Linked DNA regions of Macaca fascicularis. The protein of the gene in region 1 interacts with the protein of each later gene in a pairwise test. Links are inferred from orthologs where the notes say so. Each region holds a gene or a part of one and is shown in the gene's direction. Other genes may lie near its edges. The genes, in order: GPS2, RALBP1 and SESTD1.

What was found.
Region 2: the proteins of GPS2 (region 1) and RALBP1 interact in binary tests that used the Homo sapiens proteins (3 or more experiments, as listed by UniProt). The two-hybrid records come from large-scale screens. The link is inferred for Macaca fascicularis from reciprocal best matches to the Homo sapiens genes GPS2 and RALBP1.
Region 3: the proteins of GPS2 (region 1) and SESTD1 interact in binary tests that used the Homo sapiens proteins (3 or more experiments, as listed by UniProt). The two-hybrid records come from large-scale screens. The link is inferred for Macaca fascicularis from reciprocal best matches to the Homo sapiens genes GPS2 and SESTD1.

What each region holds. Positions count from the first base shown.
Region 1 is NC_088390.1:7,369,446-7,373,525, reverse strand, and holds GPS2 (G protein pathway suppressor 2), read left to right. Parts: upstream 1-1,242; 5' UTR 1,243-1,296; exon of another isoform or gene 1,297-1,372; intron 1,373-1,513; 5' UTR 1,514-1,582; coding exon 1,583-1,676; intron 1,677-2,036; coding exon 2,037-2,146; intron 2,147-2,230; coding exon 2,231-2,343; intron 2,344-2,474; coding exon 2,475-2,554; intron 2,555-2,645; coding exon 2,646-2,728; intron 2,729-2,909; coding exon 2,910-3,063; intron 3,064-3,161; coding exon 3,162-3,251; intron 3,252-3,340; coding exon 3,341-3,420; intron 3,421-3,507; coding exon 3,508-3,603; intron 3,604-3,787; coding exon 3,788-3,871; 3' UTR 3,872-3,967; downstream 3,968-4,080. Other genes in the region: NEURL4 (neuralized-like protein 4), read left to right, coding at 303-507. UniProt on the Homo sapiens protein: Key regulator of inflammation, lipid metabolism and mitochondrion homeostasis that acts by inhibiting the activity of the ubiquitin-conjugating enzyme UBE2N/Ubc13, thereby inhibiting 'Lys-63'-linked ubiquitination.
Region 2 is NC_088392.1:77,877,480-77,881,127, forward strand, and holds part of RALBP1 (ralA-binding protein 1), read left to right. Parts: intron 1-1,235; coding exon 1,236-1,397; intron 1,398-2,319; coding exon 2,320-2,451; intron 2,452-3,648. UniProt on the Homo sapiens protein: Multifunctional protein that functions as a downstream effector of RALA and RALB. As a GTPase-activating protein/GAP can inactivate CDC42 and RAC1 by stimulating their GTPase activity.
Region 3 is NC_088386.1:74,665,780-74,669,427, reverse strand, and holds part of SESTD1 (SEC14 domain and spectrin repeat-containing protein 1), read left to right. Parts: intron 1-255; coding exon 256-378; exon of another isoform or gene 379-472; intron 473-1,798; coding exon 1,799-1,990; intron 1,991-3,648. UniProt on the Homo sapiens protein: May act as the primary docking protein directing membrane turnover and assembly of the transient receptor potential channels TRPC4 and TRPC5.

The sequences.
Region 1 (4,080 bases):
AGTGTGGTTGGTGTGGGCATCGTAGGAAAGAGGGGGGCGAAGGAGACAGCAGTGTGGCTGGTGTGGGCATCGTAAGAAGGTGGGAGAGATTCGAGCAAAGGCTTGAAGAAGGAAGTGAAGGGTGTAGCTGAGCAGGCTTTGGGAGGAAGAACATTTCAGGTAGAAAGAACAGCTAGAGTGAAGCTCCTATAAGGCGGGAGTATTTCCTAGGTACAGCAAGGCTTGTGTGGTTGGAACAGACTTTGCAAGGGGGAGGTGATGGGGAGAGAAGCTTCACTCCCTTATTTTTTCCTGTTTGACAGATTCCGGGACCCCAAATCCCAGCGGACGCACCAGGCTCAGGTGGCGTTCCAGGTGTGTGTGCGCCCTGGCTCCTACACCCCGGGACCCCCTTCCGCTGCCCTTGGAGAACCTCCTGACCCTCACTTCAGTCCAGCCGAACTTGAGTGGGTCACTAAGGAGAAGGGGGCCACACTCCTCTATGCCCTGCTGGTACGGGTGGAATGAGGGGTGACACACAAATACTACAAGCACAGTCGGGCCTCGGGCCCATGGACTCTGGCGACTGCCTCCACCTCATTCCCGTGACTCGTGGCATGCGCAGGTGCTGGAGCTTGGCAGCCGCGCAGGAGCATGTAGGCAGGCTCTCAGATGTAGGTGGCAAGTGGCACAGCTCCATGTCTGGAGGCCCAGCACTCCGTCTGATGGGAGGAGCCGTGGGAGCCCAGCTCCAGGCCCTGGTACCCCTCTTCATGCACTGATTTGGGGAACATGACTCCCTTTTACTCCCCTTCCCCACATCACTTAATTTATTTCCGTTTTTGTTTCTGGTTACTGTGAATCCCAGAGGAGTCTCTCCCTGTGCCCACATGAAGCTGCTTTTTCCGGGGCCACCAGGCGGGAGTGGGGAAGGGTGGGCGCACGGAAGATGGGGGCCTCTGTACAGTTGTTACTGACTCTGATTTCTAAGGAGCCAATAAACACCGTCTCAGAGCCTCCGCCTCGGCCTCTCTCTCGCGCGCCCCTCCCCGGAGCCCGCGTCCCCTGGGGTGCCACCAGGTGGGCCCGCGAAATTAAAGAGAGCTGAGGATGCCAAGACCAGTTTACAGCCCTCGTCGCCCGCGTTCCCGGCTACGGGGTTTGGACGCCGCGGGCACCCGTCGCAGCGCGCTTCCGCTTTCTCTCACCCAACCCGTGAGGTCGGCCGCAGCCGTGACTCCGGAAGGACTTGGCCGGGCCGCCGGATGTGACGTACGGGCCAGGGCGCGCCGGAGCTGCTGAGAAAGCGCAGAGAAGGCGGGTAGGGAGGGCTGGCGTCCGGGCTGGCTGGGCAGGGAGCGGCAGCACCGAGTCGGGGATCCCGGCGCCGCCCGTGCGCGCGGTGGAGCGGGGGCTGCGGGCCCGGCCGGGTGGCGGGCTCCTGGGACACGTGACCGGGGCGGCTAGCGGGTCGGGCGGACGGGCTTCCGCCTGGGCCGGGCGCGGTCCCCTCTGAGCGCCCGCCTCCCCGCAGGCGCCGTCTGAGGTCTGGCAGTCAGAGACAGAGCCGGGCGCCCACGGCCCGAGCGCCCACGGCAGCACCATGCCCGCACTCCTGGAGCGCCCCAAGCTTTCCAACGCCATGGCCAGGGCGCTGCACCGGCACATTATGATGGAGCGGGAGCGCAAGCGGCAGGGTGAGCCGGGGCCATAGCGGGGGGACACACGGCCCAGAATGGCTCCTGTACCTCAGGGTTGGCCTCAACCCAGCGGCCAACCAGTGAGCCCGCTGCCGAGCGCAGAGGAGGGAAGGAATAGCCCCGTTGTGGTGGGATTTAAGCGTCCTGGTCCACGCTCCAGAACCCTTGAGACGGGAAGGACCTTGGAGAGCACCTGATAAAGCCTCTCCGTTCCCTATTGCAGCGATGGGGGAGCTTGTCCCCTCGAGGCAAAGAGCGCACAGGCGTGTTGGGATGACTGGGTTTTGCTGGTCTTCAATCTAACGTTGGAACTGTTTTCACTACCCTGCCTCTTCTTCATTCTGCCTGATTCTCCAGAGGAAGAAGAGGTGGATAAGATGATGGAACAGAAGATGAAGGAAGAACAGGAGAGAAGGAAGAAAAAGGAGATGGAAGAGAGAATGTCACTAGAGGAGACCAAGGAACAAGTAAGCAGTCCCTTGAACTCTCCCAGCTTTGATTTCTTCCCTTGACTCTCCCTGCCTTCATCTTCTCTTCCCACTCCCTCCCAGATTCTGAAGTTGGAGGAGAAGCTTTTGGCCCTACAGGAAGAGAAGCATCAGCTTTTCCTGCAGCTCAAGAAAGTTTTACATGAGGAAGAAAAACGGAGGCGAAAGGAACAGAGGTAGGATCAGAGTACTAAAAACTGAAATGGGGGCCAAGTGGAACTGGGATCAAGTAATAAAAGAACTAGTGTTTAATGGCGAAAGAGAAGGCATCTGTCCTTAGCTTTGACCTGCCTTCCTCTCACTCCAGTGACCTGACCACCCTGACATCAGCTGCATACCAGCAGAGCCTGACTGTCCACACAGGAACTCATCTCCTCAGCATGCAGGGTGAGGACTAAAGAGACCACCTGATGGAACCGGCCTTCTTACAGGTTGCAGCCTCCCATTTCAGCATCATGAAGCCCTTCTCCCTTTCTAGGGAGCCCTGGAGGACACAATCGCCCAGGCACCCTCATGGCAGCTGACAGAGCCAAACAAATGTTTGGACCCCAAGTGCTTACGGTGAGAGTAGGATTGGATGCCCAGCCCCTACTGCTTCCATCCATGCATCCTTGCCACCAGTATTCAAGTCACAAACATATCAAGCACTTAAGTTTAGGGGGAAATGGGGCATACAGATATACACAAGTCACTGGGTTTCAGCTTTCAAGTTTATAGGCGAATTCTCATTCTCCCTCCTTAGACCCGGCACTATGTGGGCTCAGCAGCTGCTTTTGCGGGGACACCAGAGCATGGACAATTCCAAGGCAGTCCTGGTGGTGCCTATGGGACTGCTCAGCCCCCACCTCACTATGGGCCCACACAGCCAGCTTATAGTCCTAGTCAGCAGCTCAGAGGTGAGTAATAGGAGGGATGGGGCTTGGCCTTCCTCAACGTCAAAGGAGGAATGCCGTTGAGTAAAAGGTTTTAATGGCTCTGTCTTTTCCTTTCTCAGCTCCTTCAGCATTCCCTGCAGTGCAGTACCTATCTCAGCCACAGCCACAGCCCTATGCCGTGCACGGCCACTTTCAGCCCACTCAGACAGGTGATAACATCCCATGCAGGAGCTCTAGCTCTCTGGGTCCTCCCCTCCCTGTTTCATTCTCATCTCACATGCCCCTCTTCCCCACGTAGGTTTCCTCCAGCCTGGTGGTGCCCTGTCCTTGCAAAAGCAGATGGAACATGCTAACCAGCAGACTGGCTTCTCCGACTCAGTGAGTATGGCATCTTGGGAGGTCAGGGTTAGGGATATGTTAAGGGGAGCATCAGTATGCCTCAGGCCCTGACTCTGTTCTCTGCAGTCCTCTCTGCGCCCCATGCACCCCCAGGCTCTGCATCCAGCCCCTGGACTCCTTGCTTCCCCACAGCTCCCTGTGCAGATGCAACCAGCAGGAAAGGTAAGAATGATAATAAAGTTTACCTGTCAGAATCCTTACACTAGGGATCCAGAAAAGCAGGATTAGGTAGGACCGGTGGCCCACATCACCTGGTTTTTCTTCCTCTCTGGGGGTGGTTACCAGTAGGGCATTAAGTGGGAGAGTACGCCCAGTGACAAAGCCCTCTTTTCATCACCACCGCCAGTCGGGCTTTGCAGCTACCAGCCAACCTGGCCCTCGGCTCCCCTTCATCCAACACAGCCAGAACCCGCGATTCTACCACAAGTGACGATCAGATTATATCTTCAACATCATGCCCCCTGCCCCACTGTGGGTGAGGATACCCCCCGTGTGTCCCAGGCCAATAAAATCTACCTGCCACTGACCCTGGCTGCTGCTGTTTGTGTTGCCTCCCACCCAACTGTCTGGAATAGGTCAAGGCTGCTTGGGGGGTGGGGGGATGACTGGCAGGTCCACAGCAAGTCAGTGATAGACAGC
Region 2 (3,648 bases), on another chromosome or scaffold:
CGTCTCTACAAAAAAATAAAAAATTAGCTGGGTGTGGTAGCATGTATGTATAGTCCTAGTTACTTGGCAGACTGAGGTAGGAGGATTGCTTGAGCCCAGCAGTGAGCTATGATCATCCCACTCTACTCCTCTCTGAGTGACAGAGCAAAATTCTATCTCTAAAAAATACTCTTCTGTTATTCATTGGTTACACTTTGAAAGCAAAATGTTTCTCAGATTTTAGTTTGATCATTCATATTAGGATTTCAGGATCTGGTAAATATTACATTGATACTTAATATTACTATAATATAATAGAGATGGTTGTATCATAGAAGAGTCAAGTGTGTTGTAAGAGTAAGTTTTAGGTAGGAAGTAATTTCTTGTAGTAGCTTTTCAGCCAACCTAATGCCCTGGTCTCCTAGCATGTGAACATCCACACTTAAATGCTGGCTGTGTCCAGGTATTTGTTTCTGGAGTGAGGGCTTTCAACCTCAACCCAGTTTTACTGCTGTGGTGCTCTCACTTCCCTCACGGTCCTCATTCAGCCCATTGTAGCTGTTAAAATATCTCAAAGTAAGTTCAAAATAAAGAACATAAGATGTTTTAGCTGGGCATGGTGGCTCATGCCTGTAATCGCAGCACTTTGGGAAGCTGAGGTGGGTAGATCATTTGAGGTCAGTAGTTCGAGACCAGCCTGGCCAACATGGTGAAACCCCATCTCTACTGAAAATACAAAAAAATCAATCAGGCGTGGTGGCGCACACCTGTAATCCCAGCTTACCAGAGAGGCTGAGGCAGGAAAATCGCTTGAACCCATGAGGTGGAGCTTGCAGTGAGCTGAGATTGTGCCACAGTACTCTAGCCTGGGCTACAGAGCGAGACTCCATCTCAAAACAAAAAAACAAAACAATACTCAAAAAAACATAAGGTGTTTTAATCAGTTAATACTGTAGTGATAGAAAAAAAAAACAAATGAATGGGCATCAGCTTCTCTATCCTTTTCTTGGTTTTTTTTTTTCCTCTTCAATTCTTTCTGGTGCTTGAATACATGATTTAACTCATATTTTATGAGTCTTCTTCTTAAATTGACCATTTTCTTCTTAAATTGACCATTAACTAGCAAAGACTGTGTTGTCAGTACTGGGTAGAATTTTCTTTATGTGTCCAGGATTAAAGGATATATTATGTTAGACACAAATAACTGAAATAGAATGATAATTTTAATGGTTTTCTTGTAAATCTTTTTTTCTTAGATTAGCAATCGAGTCCTGTATGTGTTTTTCACACATGTGCAAGAACTCTTTGGAAATGTGGTACTAAAGCAAGTGACGAAACCTCTGCGATGGTCTAACATGGCCACGATGCCCACACTGCCAGAGACCCAGGCGGGCATCAAGGAGGAGATCAGGAGACAGGTGTGTGCACCCTGCCTGCCACAGCCTGCGTCTGCATTGGCCATTGTGGAGTCCAGTGGTGATGGGCTCTTGTTTCCTGAGCACTTTCTGTGTGTCTGGAGCTATGTGAGGCACACTGAAGTCAGAAATTCCCATCTGGTACTGTTTCATGCTGAATAAGTCGGAATACCATGGTGGAAAGAGCATAGTTTTTGGAATCAAAAGACCTGGCTTTAAATTCTTGCTCTGCTCTCAGTTATAACTGATTTTAGGCGAATTCTTAACCACCTTAAGCGCTGGTGTTCTTGCTTTAAAATGGGCCCTCTTAAAGGATTGGTGTGAAGATTTTGCCACAAATGAGACAATACATGAAACAGGCCAGGCACGCTGTAAATAGTCTAAAAATGTTTGCTTTTTCTGGACAAGGTTGCTGTCATCAGCCATATTTTATAGATAAGAATATTAAAATTTGGGGAAGTTAAGTAACATGATTATTTATTATAGACCCAAGAGTTGAGCCCAAATCCTGGGCGTTTTTACTATGTTATTTTGATGGAAGTAACCATGCCGTGTTTGTGTGGGTGTGTGTAATCAAGACTAAATAAGAAAGTTAATTACATTTGATTATTTATTTGCATGCACTTTATCAAACCCCTGCTTGCTTTTCCTCCCTTGTGTCTGCCGTGAGCTCCCAGTTCTTACTAGTTAATGATGATGACATTGGAGATGGGGATGTTAAGTATTATTGAACCAATACAAATTAGCGAATAATTCATTGGCAAAACAGTAAGAATGATTTTTCAATCATATCAGTGCCATTATTTTACTCTAATGAAATAAAGGATAATTGAAAAATAGTTGATTCTTCATCTTTAGAAATTGCATGTGTTGTTTAAGATAAGAGGATATGGAATGCAACTTAGTGTGTGGCATTGCTTTCTAGGAGTTTCTTTTGAATTGTTTACATCGAGATCTGCAGGGCGGGATAAAGGATTTGTCTAAAGAAGAAAGATTATGGGAAGTACAAAGAATTTTGACAGCCCTCAAAAGAAAACTCAGAGAAGCTAAAAGACAGGTGGGTTACTAGTTTGATACCTAATGTTTATAATAGAACGTGTTGGAGTCTTTTATGTCCTTTATGTGCTCTTTGAAGTATTTTCTTTCTTTCCTTTTTCTTTTGATATTGACCAGGCTGGTCTCAAACTCTTGGCCTCAAGTAATCCTCCCACCTCGGCCTCCCCCAAAGTGCTGGGATTACAGGCATGAGCCACCACGCCCAGCCCAAGTTCTTTCTTTTAAGAATATTATAGATAATGTCACTTGAAGTGAACTTCTCTGGTGGGAAATTTATTCACTAAAATGTTTCTAGTCCTGTATTATTGATATTGCAGCCTGGTGTCAGTCACATGTTTCAATGTAATCTAGAACGTTTTTTTAATTTTTTTTGAGACAGGATCTCGCTCTGTCACCCAGGCTGGAGTGCAATGGCATGATAATGGTTCACTGTAGCCTCGACCTCCTGGGCTCAAGGGATCCTCCTACCTCAGCGTTCTGAGTACTGAGTAGGTGGGCCTACAGGTGTGTGCCACCATGCTCAGCTGATTTTTTATTGCTTGTAGAAATGGGGTCTTGTTATGTTGCCCAGGCTGGTCTCAAACTTCTGGGCTCAAGCAGTCCTCCCACCTCCCAAAGTGCTGGGATTATAGGCATAAGCCACCATGCCTGGCCTAGAAAGTTTTGTTTTAATTAAAAATGAATTTACTAAAAAATGTGTCATTTCCTGCTCGGTTATACCTGTAAACAAGGCTTTCTGCAGATGAGAAGCAGGCTGGATGGTGACACACCTTCGGGGACTGCTGGAATTTGAGGCATTTAGTATCAGCTCTTTGGAAATGTAGTGATGAGGGTTGCCTGGAAGGTCCTGAAGATCAGGAGAGATTCTATTTATGTAATAAGAAGAAGAGGGGCATGCAGTACCTGATGAGTTTAGGGTACACCAGTCAGACTTTTGAGTTCCCTCTTGTTTAGTGTGTGTTGCTTGGTTCTGGGACTGTGAGTGGACCAGCCACAGCAACAGTAAAATCCCAGATCTCTGGATCACCTTAAAATCCACATTGCAGATCCACTGCAGCATCTAAACAGCACATCCAAGGATCATTAGTTAGCCCTTGCCTGAATTGGGGAACATGATAGTAGGTCTCTGTTGTGGTTGTGTTAAAAAGACAAAGGCAACCTGAGTCCTTCTGTTTCTTTGAGGTTAGAGATTTGTATT
Region 3 (3,648 bases), on another chromosome or scaffold:
CTTTTATTATGTGATACTAACTTTAAAAGAATGCTTTTCTTTAGTATGTCTTGCCTTCAGATTTAAAAAATTTTGAGGAGTAGGAGAGGTAATTAATTCATGTAGCTTATCATTGAATGAAATAAACTTTTAAGACTTTAGGTTATAATTAACGGATTCATTAATCACATGATAGTAATCACTGTATAAATGACATTTTGATACAGTAAGTAAAGAGTTCTGAATCCAGCTTCATTGTTATGTCTTTTTGTTTAGGCAGTAGAATGGCTAAGTGAACTTCTGGATGCTCTGCTTAAGACTCACATCAGATTGGGCGATGATGCTCAAGAAACGAAAGTTTTGCTGGAAAAGCATAGAAAATTTGTTGATGTTGCACAGGTGCAAAACTGGTTATCTTCCTTTTCCACAAGTTCAGTGTTTGAATAGCTTTCTGCATGATTATAATGTAACTTTACCCTCCAAGTACAAGAAGGTTAGTTTTGTTATTCCAGAAGTATCACAGAATTAAGAAAGTGTCAGCTGGTGCATCAAAACTAGCCTGCATAAACTTGAGAGGGTTTATGTTTCCCTGAATACATGTTCTGCATGGTCCCTCTGATTTATGCTATATATTGTGGCATTTTTTAGGCAATCCAGCTGTTGATTCACAGAAGTTAATATGAAATGGATGTTAATATCAGTAAATAAGAAACCTCACTTTCTGCATCTCACTAGTGTTAGCATAATAATACAGAACTTTTTTGTGGTGAAAAGTATCTTTCTTTTTTTTTTTTTTTTTAAAGACAGAATCTTCCTCTGTTGCCCAGGCTGGAGTGCAGTGATATAATCTCAGCTCACTGCAACCTCTGCCTCCCAGGTTCAAGCGATTCTCATGCCTCAAGCCGCCTGAGTAGCTGGGATTACAGGCACTGGCCACCACGCCTGGCTAGTTTTTGTATTTTTAATAGAGATGGGGTTTCACCTTGTTGGCCAGGCTGGTCTTGAACTCCTGACCTCAAGTGATCCACCCACCTCGGCCTCCCAAAGTGCTGGGATTACAGGTGTGAGCTACGGCGCCACGCCAATAAGTATCTTATTTTCCCTGATAATGAGTTCACATTGTAACAGGTGTAGTTTCCTATATGGAATATAAAGTGCCTAATTTCACCTTCTTTTGAAAGTAGTTTTGATTAATTCATAAGCAGACATTCTTTCTGACCAGTGAAATTTGGCGGATTGTGATGGGGGAAACAGAATGAAGTGGGGAAGCCTAACAGAAAGAGAGTTTTTTTCTAATTAAAAATTTTAAAACAATTTATTTTTTTGAGACAAGACCTTGCTCTGTCACCTACGATATAATGTGGTAGCACAATGATAGCTCTCTGCATCCTCCAACTCCTGGGTTCAAGTGATCCTCCTGCCTCAGCCTCCGAGGTAGCTGGGACTATAGGCAAGTGTGGCCAAACTCAACCAATTTTTTTTTTCATTTTTTTGGGGCAGGATCTTGCTATGTGGGCCAAGCTGGTCTTGAACTCCTAGGTTCAAGCGATCCTCCCACCTCAGCCTCCCAAAGTGCTGGGATTACAGACATGAGCCACTGTGCCTGGCCAAGAAACTTATTATAAACTAACCAAAAATATTGCTTCCCCTTTATTATTTATACACACAGATAATTTGTAGTAATAAGTGCCACTAGATTTATTCAGTATTGATTTCTAGTAGTGTCACTTAATTGTAAGGACAGTCTTCCTGCACACTTTCCTCATCCTTCTCTTAAGAATTCTTTTTTTATAATTTTATGTTTCCTTTTCTTTTTTAGAGCACTTATGACTATGGCAGACAGTTGCTACAGGCCACAGTGGTGTTATGCCAGTCTTTGCGTTGCACTTCTCGGTCATCTGGGGATACGCTTCCTCGATTGAACAGAGTATGGAAACAATTTACAATAGCATCTGAAGAGAGAGTACATAGGTTGGAAATGGCTATTGCATTTCACTCAAATGCTGAAAAGGTTTGCTTTTTTTTTGAAATGTTATTCTCAGTGGTATTTATTATATGTGTTTAAAGTGTGTTAATTTTAGTAATGTAACTATATGACTGATCTATTTTTCAATATTTATATTAGTTCCATTGTTAGTTTGCTTAGATATAATATATTGCCTTAGAGAGTTCAAATTAAATTCTTGATTCTTACCAGTGCTGGAGAGCTGTGATTAAAGAAATCTAGAACCACGTGGTAGTCTTCTCTTTACACTTGTCTCCTCACCAAGCCTGGTGTCCAGAATATGCCCTCTGTTCTTTAGAGTATCATGAGTTCATTCTCTTTCGTTATGCCTGGAAGGGAAACTTTTTGCTTTGGCAACTGCTATTAATTGTCACACATTTTCTAAAAGGCACCTTGTGATTTTATAAAGTAGGGACATTAAAAAAATAAGGACAAAAGTAAAATGCTTTTTTATATGGGTTCTTTAAAGATTCATTCTAGAATTTATTATTCAATGAATTAAGGTCATTAATTCCAGAAACAAAAGATAAAATATGCAGGGTTATTTGGACACATTTTCAATAGAACTTTTTTCTTACTCTTTGTAGTAAGAATTTATTGTACCCAAGCCTTACATATCCGTTCTGAAAAGGAACTTTATTATGTAGTTAATTTTGTTTTGATCTCTTACAATAAAAGTTTATACGTAGGGAATGTTCATTACACTTTGAGATATTAGCAAACCTAACTCGATCCATAGAACAGATGTTGCAAGGAACCTCAGGAATTAAACAGTTTCTGAGTTATGAAGTACATCTGTTGGGATGTGTCCATAGTTAACTCATTCTCAGCTGGTCATTGAACTCCATAGATCAGTGTTTGATGAACATGGGCCTAATGATAAATGGAAGTATACAAAATGGTGTAACTTGTTTACTGATTGTTTCAATGAGGATTTTTTATTATTAAGTATACTGTTAACATAGAAAACATACAGACCACAAGTATTCTGTGCAGTGAGATTTCACAAAGTGAACACACCTGTGTAATCAGTTTACTGTTCAAAAAAACAGAACATTACCAGCATCCAGAAGCTCCCCTCCGTTCCTGTAGTCACAGTACTGCTCCCCCCACCACCTCACTGTCAAAGAGTGACCATTGGCCCAATGTCTAGCACCACTGATAACTTTTGTTTTGTTTTTCAAGACGGAGTCTCACTCTGTCACCCAGGCTAGAGTGCAGTGGCACGATCTCGGCTCACTGCAAGCTCAGCCTCCCAGGTTCACGCCATTCTCCTGCCTCAGCCTCCCGAGTAGCTGGGACTACAGGCGCCCACCACCACACCTAGCTAATTTTTTAAATTTTTTAGTAGAGACGGGATTTCACTGTGTTAGCCAGAATGGTCTCCATCTCCTGACCTTGTAATTCACCCGCCTCGGCCTCCCGAAGTGCGGGGATTACAGGCGTGAGCCACCGTGCCTGGCCCACTGATGATTTTTTAGGATACTGCTTTTAACTACCTTTTAATGAGGTCATATAAGAATGAATAGAGTTGAAAGATTTTTTTGAATAGAAAGTTGTTTCCATTTTTTTTCTGTTACCTAGCCTTTGTCTTGTTTGTAGTAAATTTGATTTAAATTTGATTTACTTAGGTTGTACAAACTTAAGTAAAACCCTTTGTTATC